2 linked regions of the Diceros bicornis minor genome follow. The protein of the gene in region 2 interacts with the protein of the main gene of each other region in a pairwise test. Links are inferred from orthologs where the notes say so. Each region holds a gene or a part of one and is shown on either strand. Other genes may lie near its edges. The genes, in order: PKP4 and ATPAF2.

Region 1 (8,776 bases), on a different chromosome or scaffold from region 2:
GGCCGGCCCAGTGGCGCAAGTGGTTAAGTGCGCGTGCTCCACTGCGGGGACCGGGGTTAGATGGTTCGGATCCCGGGCGCGCACCAACGCACCGCTTGGCAACCCATACTGTGGCGGCATCCCATATAAAGTGGAGGAAGATGGGCATAGATGTTAGCCCAGGGCCAGTCTTCCTGCTCAAAAAGAGGAGGATTGGCAGATGTTAGCTCAGGGCCGATCTTCCTCACACACAAAAAAACAAAAACAAACAAACAAAACAATTACTTTCCCAATATGTATAGCTCTGAAAAGAAAGAAAGCTGCAATTCTGACTTGATACAGACTTAATCCAAATACTCAAGGTCATGAAATTGCTCAAGTTTTTATTAAACTGAGTTTGGTAGCAGTTTCTTTAAATTCAAATTATGTTAGAGCTACGTGCAGAATTAGGTTCGGTTTATCCAGCTTATAAATGCAGCAGTAACATATTTTGTTTTTCTGGATGAATGCCAACTGCTCCTACTTTCTGCTTACCTTCTCTTATGCTTTCCATCACTACCCTGATCCCTATCTCCCTCCAAAATCAACACAGGTAAGAATTAAGATAACTGGACACTTAGTTCCCCAATTTAGTATCTTCAGTATAACATGCAAGACACGAAATGCAGCACCTTCTCCTTATATAATAGTGGGGGTTGGGGAGGGAAAACACAGTTTGTGTTATTTTGATCAAAACACAGTTTACGTTATTTTCAATTTTGAACGATCACCAGTTTAAAACTGCCTCTCTTCAAATATTTATAACAAATAGAATATATTTCTAACTGAAAGCCTACCTTTACTTGAAGCAGGTAAAACTATTTGCACAGCCAGTCCTGTATATACATTATCTATATACGGGAAAGGATTATTTCAATTTCTAATGTAGCAGAGAAACTAAATACGATTTTACTTTCTAATCTTCATATCAAATCAAATAAGCACATGTTAAACTCTGCTGTAATATGATATTGTTACATAAGTTTCCTGTTGGCATCTACAAACACCTCCCAATATCCTACAGAGTGTTACTAACTCTAATTTGGAGTTAAATCTCTAAATTAGAAGGTCCACTGATTACAGATGTACCTGAAAAACAATGTAGCAGCCAAAAGACACAACCATTCCCAGTACAGTTGTTTTTTTTTTTTTTTTCCCACATTCTGTTGGGTCCTTAACTAAAAAAGACTCTCATCTTATACTTTTCAATTCCCTTAATCCACACAAAGTAGGTGCTGGAAGACAGCTGGACAATCAACTTACTATTTTCCTGAATCTGATACAAAATAATCAAGTGTGGAGAGGCTTACAGTAAAACTCAACCTCCAAAGCACACTGTGTCAAATAAAAGCACACACAGTATGCTTTTCAACATCAGAAACACTTATTTTGCATGAGTGGTTCTCATTTCATATTACCATTTTCCATAACTGCTTCAAAGGCACCAGAAATGAAAATACTTCTATAGCAATACACTGCATTCAAAAAGAGAAGCTGTCTTCTACTTTCCTTTTTAAAATAAAAGAATCTAAGCCCAATTCTAGAGAAGCACCTCCTTGAAAAATTTGCTTTTCTGCATTAAAGAAAATAAAATTTTCCCCAAAATGTATACTAATCATTACTGATTTTACAAAATAATTATTCATTAAAAGTTGTAGAGCTGTATTTATTTTTCAGTCAAACTCAGTAACAAGAAGAGAAAGAACTCAGACCTCAACTAATAAATTACATCTTGAAATACACATGATTGTGATGTCCCCGTGTTACTTTCAATGGTAACTGACACGCCCCGAATTTAACTGTACCAGACAGTTCTATCTGTCCCATCGCTGACTAAACACTGCTTCTCTGTTTCTATTCATTATGTATTATAAGAGGTCTAAGCACAACCCAGTATGACGAGAAAAAAATTACAATTCTTATGACAGCAAAGTGATGCATTCACGATCTCTCTTGCAGTACATCCCTGTCCATGAGCATTAACAGACATTTTTTGATAAAGCTAAAATACGTCGGCTGCAAGCTCATTACTCTAAGAACCTTGGACACCCGTTCCTGCAGGTTTTCAGAAAACCCTCGTAAAAACCAGGCGATATTCAAATCTTGCAAACCAAACTTGCCAAGAACCTTGTGCAATGATCAATAACCTTGGCTACACCGCCATTGGCCCCAAATTCGCGGTCCTGGAGACCAGTGCAGCAGAAACCAGCCGAAGGGCTAGCAGAAACCCAACAGAACTGCCGCGCTCCCCCTCCGCCGCCCTCTCTGCCGCATGAAGAGAGGCGAGGAGAGAAGAGCGGAGCGAGGCTCACCAGCTCCGAAGATGCTCCGGTGACCTCCGGCTGCGCGGCGAGAGCTGGGCCGGGAAGGCGCTACTGCAGCCGCGGCTGGCCGTGTGGACTATGCCCCGGTGCATTCCTTGCATTCCTGCACAATCTGTCGCCAGCCGAGGAGCTGGCGGAGCGCGTCCCCCCCGGACACACACACCTGCCTAGTGCTGCGCCCCGAGCGGCCACGGCCGCCGCGGCGCCTCCACTGCCTGCGCTCCCTGTTTGTCGCACTCGGCCAACACGCAGCCAAATCTGGGCCCCGCCGCTCACCCCCTCGCTTCCCGGGCAGGGGGCAAAGGGGAGAGGGCCGGGCAGCCCCAGCGGCCGGCAGGGACACGCGATCCGCCAAAGGGGTGCCGCAGCTCCGCTTCAACTCCTGGCAAGGAGAGGAGGAAGCGGCGGCGCAGGAGGACAGCCGGGGAAGCTCCGGGCTGGGGAGACGGGAGGGGTGGAGCGTGAGGATACGCGGCGAGGAGACAGGGGCGCACTGGGCAGAGCGGGGTGGGCAGGCCCGGCAGAAGCGCGGGACTCAGGAGGCGGGCGCGAGACCGTGCAGGCAGCAGGAGCATGGGAGGGGGCCAGGATGCAGGATCTGGGGCTGGAGGGACGGACAGACGGCCCTGAGGGCTGGGGAAGGCGGGTGCGCCGGGGTGCCGGGGGCGCGGGGCGGCGTGCCAGGCGGGCAGGAGCAGGGAAGCCTCTGGGCTGGCGTCCAGGAGGGCTCGGCGTGCCGCTCAAGTTTGGGGCTGGGGCTCTGGATCCGAAAACGCCAACGTGGGGAGGGGTCGTGCGCGGCGTGAAGGGGAGACTCGGGGAGAGTAATCGCCGGGAAAAGCAAATGGAGGGTGAAACTTGTGCGCCCGCCGGGGGGAGGGGAGCAGGCAGGCGAGTGCGGGCAGGAACACGAGGCGGGGCAGGAAAGCCGAGGCGGCCGCGCGGCGGTGGGGACGGAGTAAAGAGAAGGAGGCGCCCGTGCCCCCGGCGCCCCTCGCAGGCAGGTCCCGGCTCGGGCGCGAGGGCCGGGGGTCTCGTGGGCAGGAGTGTCTGCGCCCGCCCGCGAGCCCGCACACTTACTTTCCAGGTTAGGCAGCAGCCGTCGTCGCTCCGCAGATCAGGGACATCGGCTCCGAGGGGTCGCCGCTGCGACACTCGAAAAAATTAAAAAAGTGCCGCGGCCGAGCTGCTGCCCGCCCCTCCCTCCCCCACCCGCCCCCTCCCCCGAAGCGGCTCTCCCACCACCCCCGGCGGCGGCGGTGGCCAACTTGCCCCTCTACCCCGTGCCCATGGTGCCGCCTCCGCGGCCGGCGTCGACACGGACTCAGCCCCGGAGCCCCCTCTACCGCCCAGAGGCCGCCGCCACCGCCCGCCCAGCCGCCAGCCCGCCTGCCCAGCCAGCCCCGGGCTCCCGGGAACGTCAGCACGCCGCCGTCTCCGGACCTGCTCGCTGCCGACCCCATTGGTCAGAAGGAGAAGGCTGGTCCTCCCCATTGGCCCGGCCCTCATATTGAATGGGCCAATGGGAACTGTGGTTTCAGGTCGCCATAGAGACCGATGCTGTGAAGAGCGAAAGGGCCTGGAGAAGGTGGCGAGTGAGGATGGAGGTGTCTCTGGCTTTGGGCGCGGGAGGGGGTGGGGGAAAGAAGTATAGGGGGATTCCTGGGCGCTGGCTCTGAAATCTGGGGCAGCTTTTGCTTTGCCTTCCTGTCAACCCCAGCTGTGCATGGTAGTGTTTGTCCCTGGCGTCAAAGGCAGGAACAGCTGAGCCCTTGTACGAATCCTTGAAGGTGAGAGCCAACGAGTGGGCGTTTCACTTTTCCCGCGTCTGGGGAGCCCCCGAGGCTGTGCCCTTTGACCTTTGACATGTGTGCAGCTTCTGCTTCTCCAGGTGAGTTTGCACCCGTCCCTTAAATCTCCGCTTCTTCCTGACGTCACCGATCCACCTGAATTGCACTTGTTTTTCCCAAACACTCCCCCTTCCCTGGGGCGGATCTTGCCTTAAAATTGGGGGTCTTCAGAATTACAGCCCTCCCTACGGGAGACTCAAAGAGAATTTCCTTTGGATGATATTTTGGTAAGGAAACAGGCTGATGTATTGTATAATGGATGTCATCGGCTCAACACATAAGATAATGTGTTCTCTGCTTCCCAAAGCAAACCTCTCATCTCTTCGTTGAAGAGATCACAGGGTGGGTAAAGACACAGGTCGGTCCTTCATGCCTTCTAATGATTTCACAAAAGAGTAAAGGAAATAGATTACAGTTGATGGATTTTGTTTTGTGGATATTTTCCAGTTTATCTCTAAATTTGATAAAGATATGAACTGAGGCATGGAATCAGTACATACAAAAATCTTGAGCTTTAATAACAAGTCCTCTGCTGTCATTTAAAGTTACTTAGTGCTACTTTGTCAATATCATTTTTCTTTGTAGATAACTTTCATATTTAGATACTGGCTATTAAAGTGGGACTTCATGAATATATTAGACTTTTAAGCATTATTTTGCTCTATCATACAGCCACTGATATTCTTAGGTTCCTTCTTTTGGTGATTTTGCCATTTTTATACTAATCTCTTTAGTAAGAAGACATGTTTATGTTACTGTGCCTCGAGTTGGAGGGACCCCATTGTGTGAAAAAGCTGATAGGATTTTGGAAATTACAAGTATTTTTTTGAGAGAAACAGATTACTGTGTGCAAGCTACATATGTCTAACTACTGTCTTGAGTTTTAAGTTGGATAATATGCTTTGCTATTGTTTTTTATCTACTGTAATCAAAGATTAAAAAATAGATAAGAATTATTAATATGGTTCCTTGACTGGAAAATTATCTCGCACAATTTGTAGTAAAATTTGAACTTAGTTGACAATCCTATGCAGGGTTGGACTGTGGAACAAAACAGTCGAACATGAGAGTGTTCCCCCTAAACATTTCCAGAATTGGGAGGGAATCACCAGGGGCCGTGGAGTGCTGCATCTTGCTTTGCCATCATGGAAATTAGCTCATCATGCTTTCAATTTCTGGCTTTTTTGTGTTTGTTTATTGGACAATAGAAAAAGTAAAATGCAAATTTTTATGAATAAGACTCATTTTTAATATACTAACAAGATGCCAATAATTTGGTTTTTAAAAATTTTTAATAATAATGAATGGAAGATGTGTCTAAAAAGAAAGAAAAAATTGATATTTCCTTTTTTCTTGCCTTAGACTAGCATGGAAAGAAGAAAACAAGAACTAATTGATTTTTTTACTCCAATAATCTTTTCTCTTTGTGTTTTAAAATGTTGTCATTCAACATTTTTATTCCATAATTCTTTTACTCAGTTGAAAGGTTTCTTTTGGACCTGCTCCTGCACGATCAAGCATTGCTGGATAAGGTTAAGAAATCACTTTGTTCCACTAAAAGTTGATGCTATCCAGACTTGGCTGGGTCGTCATTGATTCTCTAAATTCCTTTCCTCATCAGGAGGGTGATTATTCAAGACTCTTATCCAAGGCTGTTATCCAGGGCACTTCTCCCAAGCCCGTCCTATTTCTGCTCTCCATAAGCCCCCACAGTACTTGGACTTCTTCCAGTTGTGCAAATGATTTTGCCTCATACTTGACTGAGGTATCCACCATGAGGTTCCTCAACTTAACTTTCCTAAACCTCAGTCTAATTTTTACACTTCATCACTTGCTTCACTCCTGGCTGAGAAGGGGTGTCCACCCTTCTCTTCTAAGCTCATACTCCATTTGTGCTCCTAAATATTGGCCATCCTTCCTCCTCCAGGATTTTGCTCTGTTGATAGTATTTCTCTCTTAGATCATGTGTTAGATCCTTTCTTCCAAAGTTTTTTTCCTATGCCTTACAAATATCCTTTCGTGAACCACCTTCCTTCTATCCTAGCTCTATCTCCATCTATTGGCCTTCCCTTTCATCAAGAAACAGTCTGAAGGGAATTTCTTGAGGCTTCTATTTTTTCACCCCCAATGTTCTGGCCCTTGAATACAACTGAAACGATTTTTAAGATTGTGCTCTTTCTCCTCAAAATCCTAACTCATTTTGCCAATAAAGTTTCTCTCCTACAAAAGTGCCCTTTATTTGCGAATTGCAGTGCTTCAATTCCAGATTTCCGGTGAAGGGTAGAAACTGGTTTCTGTCACCCTGAGGGTCCATAGAAATGCAAATGACCTACTTGAGAAAGTGAAGCATTAACCTGCTAGCTACACCACCTTCCCTCTAACTACTGGGAAGTAGAAGAGGGAAGAGGGGTCTCTGCTCAGGCTGACTGTGAGGCCTAGGGCAAGTTAGAAAGCTTAGAAAGGTTAGAAGAAGGAGGTTTGGTGAGCTCCACCCTCAAGAACACAAGTAAACATTGGAAATCTGAGGGAACTTTTAAATCACCATCCCAGAAAAAAGTCAACCTAAACCTTTCATGATTATGAAAACTTTGTAACTTTCCAATGTTTGTTATTTTCATATTAGCACATAATGAGTAGTAGTAAATTCCTGAAAAAGAATAGCAGAGGCAGCAAGGAAAAGGGGGAAGGAGGAACACTGTCTCTCTTCTCATTCTTGGATGTCGATGGAGAAGGTGGGATCAGTGAAGATAAGAACCCCAAAAAGTACACTGATAACTGATAGTTATTTTTTTGTTGTTTTTAAAAGGAATGTTAAAACAGAAGCAGATGGCAAATGAAGGAAAGAGCAGTGGAATAAACTGGTCCTGAGAAGGGATGCTAGAGCTTAATAATAGTTCTGCTCAGGATTTCAGAATTGGCTGTGCCCCACCTCCAGCCCAGTAGCTGAATATGTAAATCCTCCCCTGCCCTTAGAGGCCAATAGTTACCTGTAGGGACTTTTCTGAAAATTTCCTGACCTTACCGCCCTCTGGAAAGGGTGATTTCTGCCTTAGTATATTATTGTGGCTCTTAACACTCTTTACCTCATGCTGTAGTTATTTGTGTGTGAGCCTTCTTTCGTAGAGGATAGGATACATATCTATGGTCATGACTATATCCTCCATTGTGCCTTGGACTACTACTGAAGTGCTCCCTACACTAAGAAAAGCTGACATTCATTAGTCTTTTTTTCAGTCCTTGAAAGAATTTAACTTCCAACAATGAAAAATTGGAATCAGTAACATTGGGAGGTAATTAGAAAAAGATGAGACTAGAAGTTCAATGTGGAAAAGTGAGGCAATGTGTGGCAGAGTGGTTCTTGCCATGTAGCCTCCTGAGAGAGAAAGGCCTAAGATCTTATCTCTACCAGGACCTATCTCTACCCCTCTATGAGGGAGGAGACCTGTGTGAGAAGGACTAGCTGCATTGCTTTGGCAAGAAGTTATCATGTTCAGAGCTAAGGCTGTAAAACTCCATGTATGGGGGAAAGCACTTGAAATTCAAGCAGGTTAAATAAGGGTTACATACATTTTTTCCATTTGAAGCATCCAGGTTGTTCTGTCTTTTGGAACACAGTGGTATCATGAGAATTTAACAGCTTTATAAAATCAGAAAAGCATCAAACATCTGGTAAGTATAATAGACATGTTTCCAAGTACCTATATCCACAGCCCTTGAAGTAGGCAGCCCTGTGTGCCTCATGATCTTCTGGCCATAGTATCAGCCCCAGTGAGGACCTGATTCAAATGTTGCGAGTCCATTGGCTGATCATTGATCCATAACCCTTAACAATGCCAGTCAGATTTTTCTCCTGGGAATTTGGAGTTGAGAGAACAAGTGAGCCAGAGTGAGCAACTGCCTTGGTGCTGATGTTTTCTGGGTTTCTATTCTCCCCATGAAGCCAGAATAAAATTCATTTTTTATTGTTTCACGAGATTTATGTTTCTTGTAATCACCTTTAACCTATTCTTTTCCTGGTTTGCCTTTAGTGAGTCTCTGTTCCTTATAATCAAAAAGTTTTACTAAAATATCATGCAAATATTTTACAACAAAACAAAACATATATTGTGATCGTCTTATTAAACTATGAAGAGCAACAGTCTAAAAATTTCTAGCAAGCAAAGAACAGAAAATGAATGATCTGTCTAGTTCTGAATATTGCCAATTTAAGTTGAGTAAAAGAGCTTTATTTAGTGTGGTATCTATTCCTTCCCACTCCCCAACCTCAAAGCCTTTTATTCCTCAACTCTCAGTTCTCCTCCTTTGAAGTTGGGACCAAAAGGAGAACTTTGAGAAGATGAGCAATGTGATTACTTTTCTGGGGTAGAATCATTTTGCCGCACCATTGGTATAGGAAGAAAATATCAGAATTGATATTTATTTTATACATTTATACTAATTTTTTAAGAACCAGGCTAAAAAATAAAAATAAGATAGGAACATTTAATAGAGTTATCCCCTAGGGCCCCACAACTCAGGGGAAACAGATTACAAAGTTTAAGTTCCAGCAATTAAAAAAACCTTTCAGGAGGAAAACCAGACTCC
Region 2 (8,547 bases):
TGATAGCTAAAGCGTACAGAGTTTCTTTTTGGGTGAAAAAAATGTTCTAGAATTGATTGTGGTGACAGTTGCACAATTCTGTGAGTATAATAAAAACCACTGAATTGTACATTTTAAATGAGTGAATTGTAAGTGAACTATATCACAATACAGCCGTTAAAAAACTTCTTCAGGCCAAATGTAACTGCCATAGCAATTAATGTAAATGGGCTAAGTGACAAAACACACTTTTTCCAAATTGCTCTAACACCTAGAGCAGGGGATGGCAAACTTTTTCTGTAAAGAGCCAGAGTAAAGGGCCGGCCCCATGGCTTAGCGGTTAAGTGCACGCGCTCCACTGCTGGCGGCCCAGGTTCAGATCCCGGGCGCGCACCGCCTCTCCGGCCATGCTGAGGCCGCGTCTCACATGCAGCAACTGGAAGGATGTGCAGCTGTGACATACAACTATCTACTGGGGCTTTGGGGGGAAAAAAATAAATAAATAAAATCTTTAAAAAAAAAAAAAGAGCCAGAGTAAATATTTTAGGCTCTGCAGGCCATGCAGTCTCGGTTGCAACTAGTCAGCTCTGCCACTGTAGTGAAAGCAGCCCTAAATGATATGTAAATGAACAAGCATGGCTGTGTTCCAATAAAACTTTATTTATAAAAACAGGTGGCAGGCTGAACTCCTTACCTACGGAATCTCCCTCAACACAACATGACCACTCTATGAAAACGACAGGTAATGCCTCTGAGGTGACAGAGACTCTAAGGAGCTAAATGACTTAGCCAGGTGACAGACAACTTGTAAACAGAGGAGACAAGACTTCTGGCTGTGACTTCACTGGGCACTGCACTCAGCCAGACATGCAGCCTCTCCAGAACACCTTCCCCTCGAAGCAGCTGATGGATCTCTGACAGCTGGTTCACAGACGGACCGCCACACAGCCTCACACAGATCTCCTCCAACACCTCAGTGACCCTTTCCTAACCCCCTCCTCTCCTGACAACCTTCAATGGCATGGCCATTCCTAAGCAGCCAAGTTCAGTCTGCTTGCCAACCGAGGTCTTCGTCAAGAAGGCCCAACTTGGGTTTAATCTTCCACTACTCCAAAGACTCACAGTCTCAAACTGGTCAAGTCTTTGTAGGGCACTCATAGGCCTGGTTGACATACTGCCCCCCACTGTGCTTCGCTCTTTCCTTCATCCATATTTTTTTTCATGTTTGACTACCTACCATGTACCAGGCACTTCCAAGAGCCTAAATTAGTGGCTCTGCAGTAGAAAGGAAAAGGAGATGGCAGATCAAGTGCCACCATAACGGGAAGTGGCCTCCACTAATCTAAATTAATCCTCCGCTCATGCCAACTTCAGTGAACTCTTGAATGTGTCCCCTCTGCCAGTGTTGCGCCTCCCTGGGATGCTGTAAAGGAAAAAACACAAAACCTCTTATTTGCCTTTACCTTTTCCTTTGGGGGTTTTCCCACCAATCAACTCTGCAACACCAGCTGGTGTCTACAATTTAATTAAGTTCTGACGCTATCTACCTGGAGTTAGTGTCAGATCCCACAGCCTAAGGGCTCAGCCCAAGACTGATTCCCCCCTCCCCCCATGCCCCACTTCAGACACCGATCGCAAGTCCAGGTTGTCACCTGTGCTTCTGACCTGTAAATGTGAGATTCCCAGGATCCCTCCTCAGGTTTGATTAATTTGCTAAAGCAGCTCACAGAACTCAGGAAAACATTTTACTTACTAGATTACCCGTTTATCATAAAAGGGTACAACTCAGGAACAGCCAGATGGAAGATGCACAGGGCAAGGTATGGGGAAAGGGGCACGGAGCTTCCATGCCCTCTCTGGGCATGCCACTTTCCTAGCACCTCCATGTGTTCAACAACCCGGAAACTCTCCGAACCCCGTAGTTCAGGGGTTTTATGGAGGCTTCATTACATAAGCGTGATTGATTAAATCACAGGCCATTAGTGATCAAGTCAATCTCTAGCCCTCTCCCCTTCCCAGAGATCAGGAGGTGGGGCTGAAAGTTCCAACCCTCTAATCATGTGGTTGGTCCCCTGGCAACCAGCCCCCATCCTTAGGGGCTTTCCAAAAGTCACCGAATTAACATAAAGTCAGACGTGGTTGAAAGGTGCTTGTTACGAATAACAAGATGTTCGTTTCACCTTTATCACTCTGGAGTTATTTCAGGACAAAAGACCAAATACTATAACAAAATATTCTCCTATAGCTCTTATTGCCTAGTAAATTACAAGCGTTTTAGGAGATGTGTGCCAGGACAGGACGAAGACTAAATATATATATATATTTCTTATTATAAATCCCAATATCACAGATGCCCTTCCTTCCTCCTCTTTACTGGCTCTTCATGGCCCACCTCCAGGCCCTTCACCTGGGTCCTGACAGGTGAAACCCCAGCTCCCTGCTGCATCATCCCCATCTACATAAACTTATGGGACTTAACCCTCAGAGGCAACGTAGTCCTTCAACTCACAGAGGAAAATAAGGCCAGAGGAAGCAGTCACATGCCCAAGATCACACAGTACCTCAGAGGTTCAGCCAGCATCAGACCTAGATTTGTACTTCTGCCACACTGCCACACTGCCTATAGAGATCTACATTTTCTAAAGCAGACAGTGTTACACCAAGGTCCCTCAATCCCCACTGTCACCTCTGGACATGTTCTAGCCACCCAACACTCTTCCTCCTCCTCTACACCAAACTCCTACTCATCTATCAAGACTCAGCTTAAATATCCTTTCACCCAAGACCCTTTCTAGACCCTCAACACCCCTAAGATGGGAGTAGGTGCTTCTTTGTGTTCTCACAGCTTCTTTGCACTTCCCTTATCCAGGATATTATAAGCTGTTTAATCAGGATAGCATAACTTTCTGCACTTTGACAGTGAACATCATCCAGGTGAGAAGTATGTCTGTCTTGAAGACCATGGTGCCTTCTGCCCTCAGCACAGAAAAACTAATTGAATGGAAGGAGAGTGTTACCTACTCTTCACTCATTTAAGGGAGTCAGTCACTCCCACTCTTAAGCTAAGACCTCTCCCCAAAAGCAAAGAAAGAGCCACGACCTTCTTCTAGGCCTCCTTCTAGGTGGTAGGGCAGTAGGAGGGAGGGCCAGGAAACCTGCGGAGAAAGTGGCCGGATGGAAGACTGAATGCCAGGGTTCTAGGCCCCTTCTGCGCCGGGTCCTGGGGCCAGAGAAAGCAGTCAGACAGGCCGACCTTTGCCCTCCACAAAACTCGCAGAGTCTGCTCTGTGACCTTGGCGTAGTCCTGATCCAGAACCCGAATTTCTTTGTCCCAAAACAACGATGACATCTGCTTTCCTTACTGAAGAGAGGAAAGCCACAAGCTTTGAGAAAAGACGCACTTCCTAAATGTCAATTACTGACTCCGGCCGGGACGCGCTTTGTGCCCTGGGGTGGTCCCTGCTCTGGCCTGGGCTTCTCTTTCCCGATCTGTAACAGGATCCTGTTGACCTGCGTAACCTCATGAGCCCGACCCCTAACTCGGTTACCTCTGCCTGCACGGCCGAACCTCTCAGCCCGGCTCGCCCCTGGCCAAAAGGGAACGTGCCCTGGCCTCCCTCACCTGTCGGGGGTGCGTAGGCCCGGGCTTGGGGCGGGGGGGTTGGCCCCGGCCTCACGGAGGCGATGAGGCCACGCCGGGGCCCGTTCAGGAGGCGGCGCCCCTCGTCCCGCAGCCGGAGGCAGGTCCTCCACATCGCACCCGAGGGCCTGGGAGGACGACAGGCGCGAAACCTGAGAGCAGGAAACAGAGCGAAGGGATCCGCAGGCTCCGGCTGTACGGAAACCTCTCACTGCCTGCCCCAGAACCCTCAGCCTGCCCTGGACGCCGCCATCTTCCGCATGACACCAACGGCGCGCCGTCGCTCGCGCGCGCATCCTGCGCACACCCCCAGTCAATCAGCATCACAAACGCACCTCGCCCCGCCCCCTCCACGCCGCGTCTCGGGAAGAAGACTACAAGTCCCAGAGGGCCCCTCGCGCATCTCGCCACGTGTTTTCTACACCCGCCAATGGGTGGAAGCGCCGCGTGAGCCTGCTCCCGCCCCCCCGGCGCGCTCGAGCCAATTGGAGGGGGTGGTGTGTGTGCGAGGGCAAGTGGGGAGGGGGACTCGGCTCAGGACCAGGAGGCCCTGCTAGCAGGTCCCGGGGTCCCGGTGGCGGCCGGAGCGCTTGGTCCGCAGGCAGCGGGCGGGTGGTTCCCCCCTCCCGCCCCAGCCCCACGCGCGCGCGCGCGCCCCGGCCCCTCCCTCCCTGCCACCCTCCGCGGCTCCCGCGCGCCGGCGGCGGTTCCTCTCCCCTCCCCCCAGCCCTGGCTCCGGGGGACCCCGCGATGCCGGTCCGCACCGAGTGTCCCCCGCCGGCCGGTGCCTCGGCCGCCTCCGCGGCCTCGCTCATCCCGCCGCCGCCCATCAACACCCAGCAGCCCGGCGTGGCCACCAGCCTGCTTTACAGCGGCTCCAAGTTCCGCGGCCACCAGAAGAGCAAGGGGAACTCGTACGACGTAGAGGTGGTGCTGCAGGTGAGCGCCGGGCCGGGCCGGGCCCGAGGGCCTCCTCGCGGCGCTCGCGGGCCGTGCCCGCCCCCGGCTCCTCGAGCCCGCAGCCGCGGACCAGGCCCTCGCCACCGGGCCTCCCGCACCCGGCGCTTCACCCCCGGACCTGCCCAGCTGGTGTCTCACACGCTTCGAACCCCAACCCTGACCTGCCCCCTCACACCCGGAGCCTGTCGTGAGCAGCTCCTGGCAGACCCTGAACACTGTCCCAGACATGAAGCCCGTGACCGGCCCGCCTGGGATCCGGAAGCCCCTTATGACTCGCCACCCTCAGACCAGGGTCCTTCCTCTCCATGACCTGTCGCCCAAAGATCGGCCCTCCCTCGTTCCCTCTCAGATCTTGAGGAGCTCTCCACTGATTTCTCCTGACTCGGGACCCTCCCCATGGCTAGGCCCATGTCTGATTCTCCCAGACCTGAGACATGCCTCCTTGCCGCCTTTCCTCCCTCCCAGGAATCCTCAGGCTCTGGGGCCCTCCTCCTCCTCCTCCTAGGGTTTCGTCTTTGGGACGAAGCTTAATCAGCCCCCTCAGATCTGGGAGCACCCAACCCCCTTTAGCCCCTGAGAGCCCACAACCTACAACTGATTCCTGGCTCGTGCCCCCTCCCCCAACACCAGGCACTCACATCCTGGGTGCTGCTGGGAGAGCCTCCTCACAGTATGTTAGGTCTTGTGTCATGGGACCCCCTACTGCTCCAGTCTCTTCCTGGCTGGGACACCCAGGCCTCCTGCCCCAGGCTTCTCATACTCCTTACCCCTCTTTGGCCACTTCCAGTCTGCTCCCAGTCTCCCTGGCCTGCCTACCCAGATCTTCCCACCCCATGCCTTCGTCTTCCTCCTTTCTTGGCACCAGGGGACCCTCTTTCCCTGTTCTTAACCCTTACCTACACAGCCAGGCTTCCTGCCAGTCTCTGATACCCATGTACTGGAAATCTAACTCACCCAGTTTTAGTTCTCACATGGATAGTTCCTTCTCATGTCTATCCACCTCCCCCGATTTGACCTGGATCTCTGAGTGTCTGCTGCCAGCCCCTGATAGCTTTGGAACTACAGCTTCACCTGCCCTGGCCCTTTCCTGCACCTCATCCCTCTCATGCAAGTGGTAACACATTTGGCATTTTTTCCCCAGCCAAAGGAGATGGGCAGTGGTTAATGCTCCTTTTTCTCTCCCTTCCTTACAAAACTGTTCCTCCTTTCTACCTACCCTTGCCTGCCTTAGGACCCACTTCCCCCCTCCCTCTGCGCCTTTATCCTTAGCCTGACACCCCATCTCCTAGGCTGTTCCCAGAAGCCCGTCCTAACAGCTGTCCCCTTGAAAGGCCTTACAGAAGCTTTGAGGTCCTACTCTGCTGCCTTGCTGCTCCCATGTGAGGACAGAATGTAGGATGTGTCTTTTCCTTAGGCTTGCCCTTTGCTCTTTTGAAGTTTTAAATCTTAACGTCTCTTCTGAACAAGTAGATCTTCCACCCAAAAGACTGAGAGCATTTTCTTATTGCTAACTGCAGAGCATTGATCACCCTCTCTTTTCTTACTGTTTTGTTGGAATAAATATTTTTCTCTTTTTTTGACTGGGAAAACTACATCTTCATGTTAATTGTGTCTTTGGTCTATAAACTTACACTTCTGTTATGAGCCATGATATTTATTGTAAGTGAAAAACTATTGTGACTGAGGTATTTCTGTCTTCGTAATTGTAGGCCTCACGTGGTGATCCCCCATCCCTTTTGCTTAAAATGTGAGAATTTAGTATGAAAGTACAGGATTTTTTTTTTTTTTCAAGTAACTATAAAATTCTGCAAGTGAGATCCCTGGTGTGGTCGTGTTTGGAATGATCTTGAATTTGTGCCCATTGTTAAATTTGATGGTTTCTGATGTGGTTGGGGGACAACTGGCATGGTAGCTAAGTGTCAGAGAGAAGGCTGCTCTGGTTACTGTGGCAACTGCTGTCATTAGTGTGTTGTTTCTGAATTCCTGTCAGGTGCCAGTTTCCTTGTGAGCCAGTGGAAGCGGTGATTGAGTTGGTGCACGATTGCTATGTCTCAGGGCAGCCCAGAGCAGACACCTGGCGATGGCTGGAAGCCACTTGAGGAGGATGTCTGTGGCGGGTCGGGGGGTGGTCCTGCCCAGGAATGCTGCGCTGCATCTGGATTGGTGAGCTGTTTGTCAGTCATTGAAACAAGTCAGTGGCATGTGAATTGCCCCATCATCTGGTTTTTCAGCCAGGACTAGTTTCTTGGACTCTACCTTCCTAGAATACTTCTGCCTTTTATAACTCAGCCTCTTTCAAGCTTGCTTTTTTTCATATCAGCTTAATTGAGTTATAATTCACATACCGTAGAATTCACCCATTTAAGGAGTACAATTCAGTAGTTTTTAGTATATCCACACAGTTGTGAAACCATCACTGCAATCTAATTTTAGAACACTTTCATCACCCCGAAAAGAAATCTTATACCCCTTAGCCATCACCCCCCTCCAACCGTATGCAACCACTGATTTTTTTGTCCTAAGATTTGCTTATTCTGGACATTTCATGTAAATGGAATCATACAATATGTGACCTTTTGTGTCTAGCTTCTTTCACTGAGTATAATGTTTTTAAGGTTCAACCCATGTCACAGCATGTGTCAATGCTTCATTCCTTTTTATTGTTGCATAATAGTCCATTGTGTGGATATATGACATTTTTTTTAATCCATTGCTCAGTTGATGGATATTTGGGTTGTTTCCACTTGTTGGCTCTTATGAATAATGCTGCTGTGAGCATCCATGTACAAGTTTTTGAGTGGACAAATGTCTTCAATTCACTTGTGTTATACCTAGGAGTAGAATGCTGGGTCATATGGTAACTCTATGTCTAACATTTTGAGGAACTGCCAGACTGATTTCCAAAGTGGCTGCACCATTTTACATTCCCACTAGCAGTGTCTGAGGGTTCCAGTTTCTCCACATCCTCCTCCACACTTGCATTGTCCGTCTTTGTGTGTGTGTGTGTGTGTGTGTGTGTGAGGAAGATCAGCCCTGAGCTAACATCTGATGCCAATCCTCATCTTTTTGCTGAGAAAGATTGGCCCTGGGCTAACTTCCATGCCCACCTTCCCTTACTTTATATGGGACGCCACCACAGCATGGCTTGACAAGCGGTGTGTGTGTCCGCGCCCGGGATCCGAACCTGTGAACCCCGGGCCGCCAAAGTGGAGCGCGCACGCTTAACCACTGTGCCACCGGGCCGGCGCCTTGTTCATCTTTTTGGTTGTAGCCATCCTGGTGGGTGTGAAGTGGTATCTCACTGTGGTTTTGATTTGAATTTCCCTAATGACTAATGATATGTTGCTCATCTTTTCATGTGCTTTTTGGAGCACTTTCTTTTTTAGAGATTTCAGTTTGAAGAGTTCCTCAAACCTTTGTGAGATTCTGACGGGGTTTTTGTTGTTGTTGTTATTACTGTGACTGTTCTGTTTCTCCTCTGCCATGCAGGAAGCCAAGAGTGAACTGAAGGCCAGGGTCACTGTGAAAGAAATATTAAAAAGAGCAGCTGTTGGACACAGCTGTGCTGTGAAACCTTCTTTGCTAGACATTTGCCTTGTTCTCTTTCTTGTGGAGATGCTGGCCTGTCGTTTGGTTAAAGCTCTCTGGGTTGTGGTGTATTTGAGTTCACCAGTCGTCATCAGGATCAGTTTGGGCAGAATGAGCGAGACGCGTGGTTGAACAGAGGCCAGACTGAAATTCTGGTTCTTGAGCATGTGATAATCCAGGCAAAATGTTAGCCAGTTTACAGTTCAGTTTTTAATCTCATTAGCAGATACCCTTGCCACCTGATGCCCTTTCCAGCAGCTGTGAGACCCCAGACTGTATTGAATTCAGTGAGAACTGCATACATGAAGTTTGAGGACTCAGGTTAGAGCTGTGTGTCCTCTTAAAAGATCTTGGCTGAGCCACGTTAGTGCGGATCAGCT

The links.
Region 1: the proteins of ATPAF2 (region 2) and PKP4 interact in binary tests that used the Homo sapiens proteins (3 or more experiments, as listed by UniProt). The two-hybrid records come from large-scale screens. The link is inferred for Diceros bicornis minor from reciprocal best matches to the Homo sapiens genes ATPAF2 and PKP4.

The regions. Positions count from the first base shown.
Region 1 is NC_080749.1:41,200,331-41,209,106, reverse strand, and holds the start of PKP4 (plakophilin-4), read right to left. Parts: upstream 3,525-8,776; 5' UTR 3,423-3,524; intron 2,377-3,422; exon of another isoform or gene 2,331-2,376; intron 1-2,330. Other genes in the region: CCDC148 (coiled-coil domain-containing protein 148), read left to right, coding at 4,209-4,233. UniProt on the Homo sapiens protein: Plays a role as a regulator of Rho activity during cytokinesis. May play a role in junctional plaques.
Region 2 is NC_080757.1:1,434,061-1,442,607, forward strand, and holds the start of ATPAF2 (ATP synthase mitochondrial F1 complex assembly factor 2), read right to left. Parts: upstream 3,875-8,547; 5' UTR 3,735-3,874; coding exon 3,602-3,734; intron 1,403-3,601; exon of another isoform or gene 1,299-1,402; coding exon of another isoform or gene 1,217-1,298; intron 1-1,216. Other genes in the region: GID4 (glucose-induced degradation protein 4 homolog), read left to right, coding at 4,370-4,558. UniProt on the Homo sapiens protein: Plays a role in the assembly of the F1 component of the mitochondrial ATP synthase (ATPase).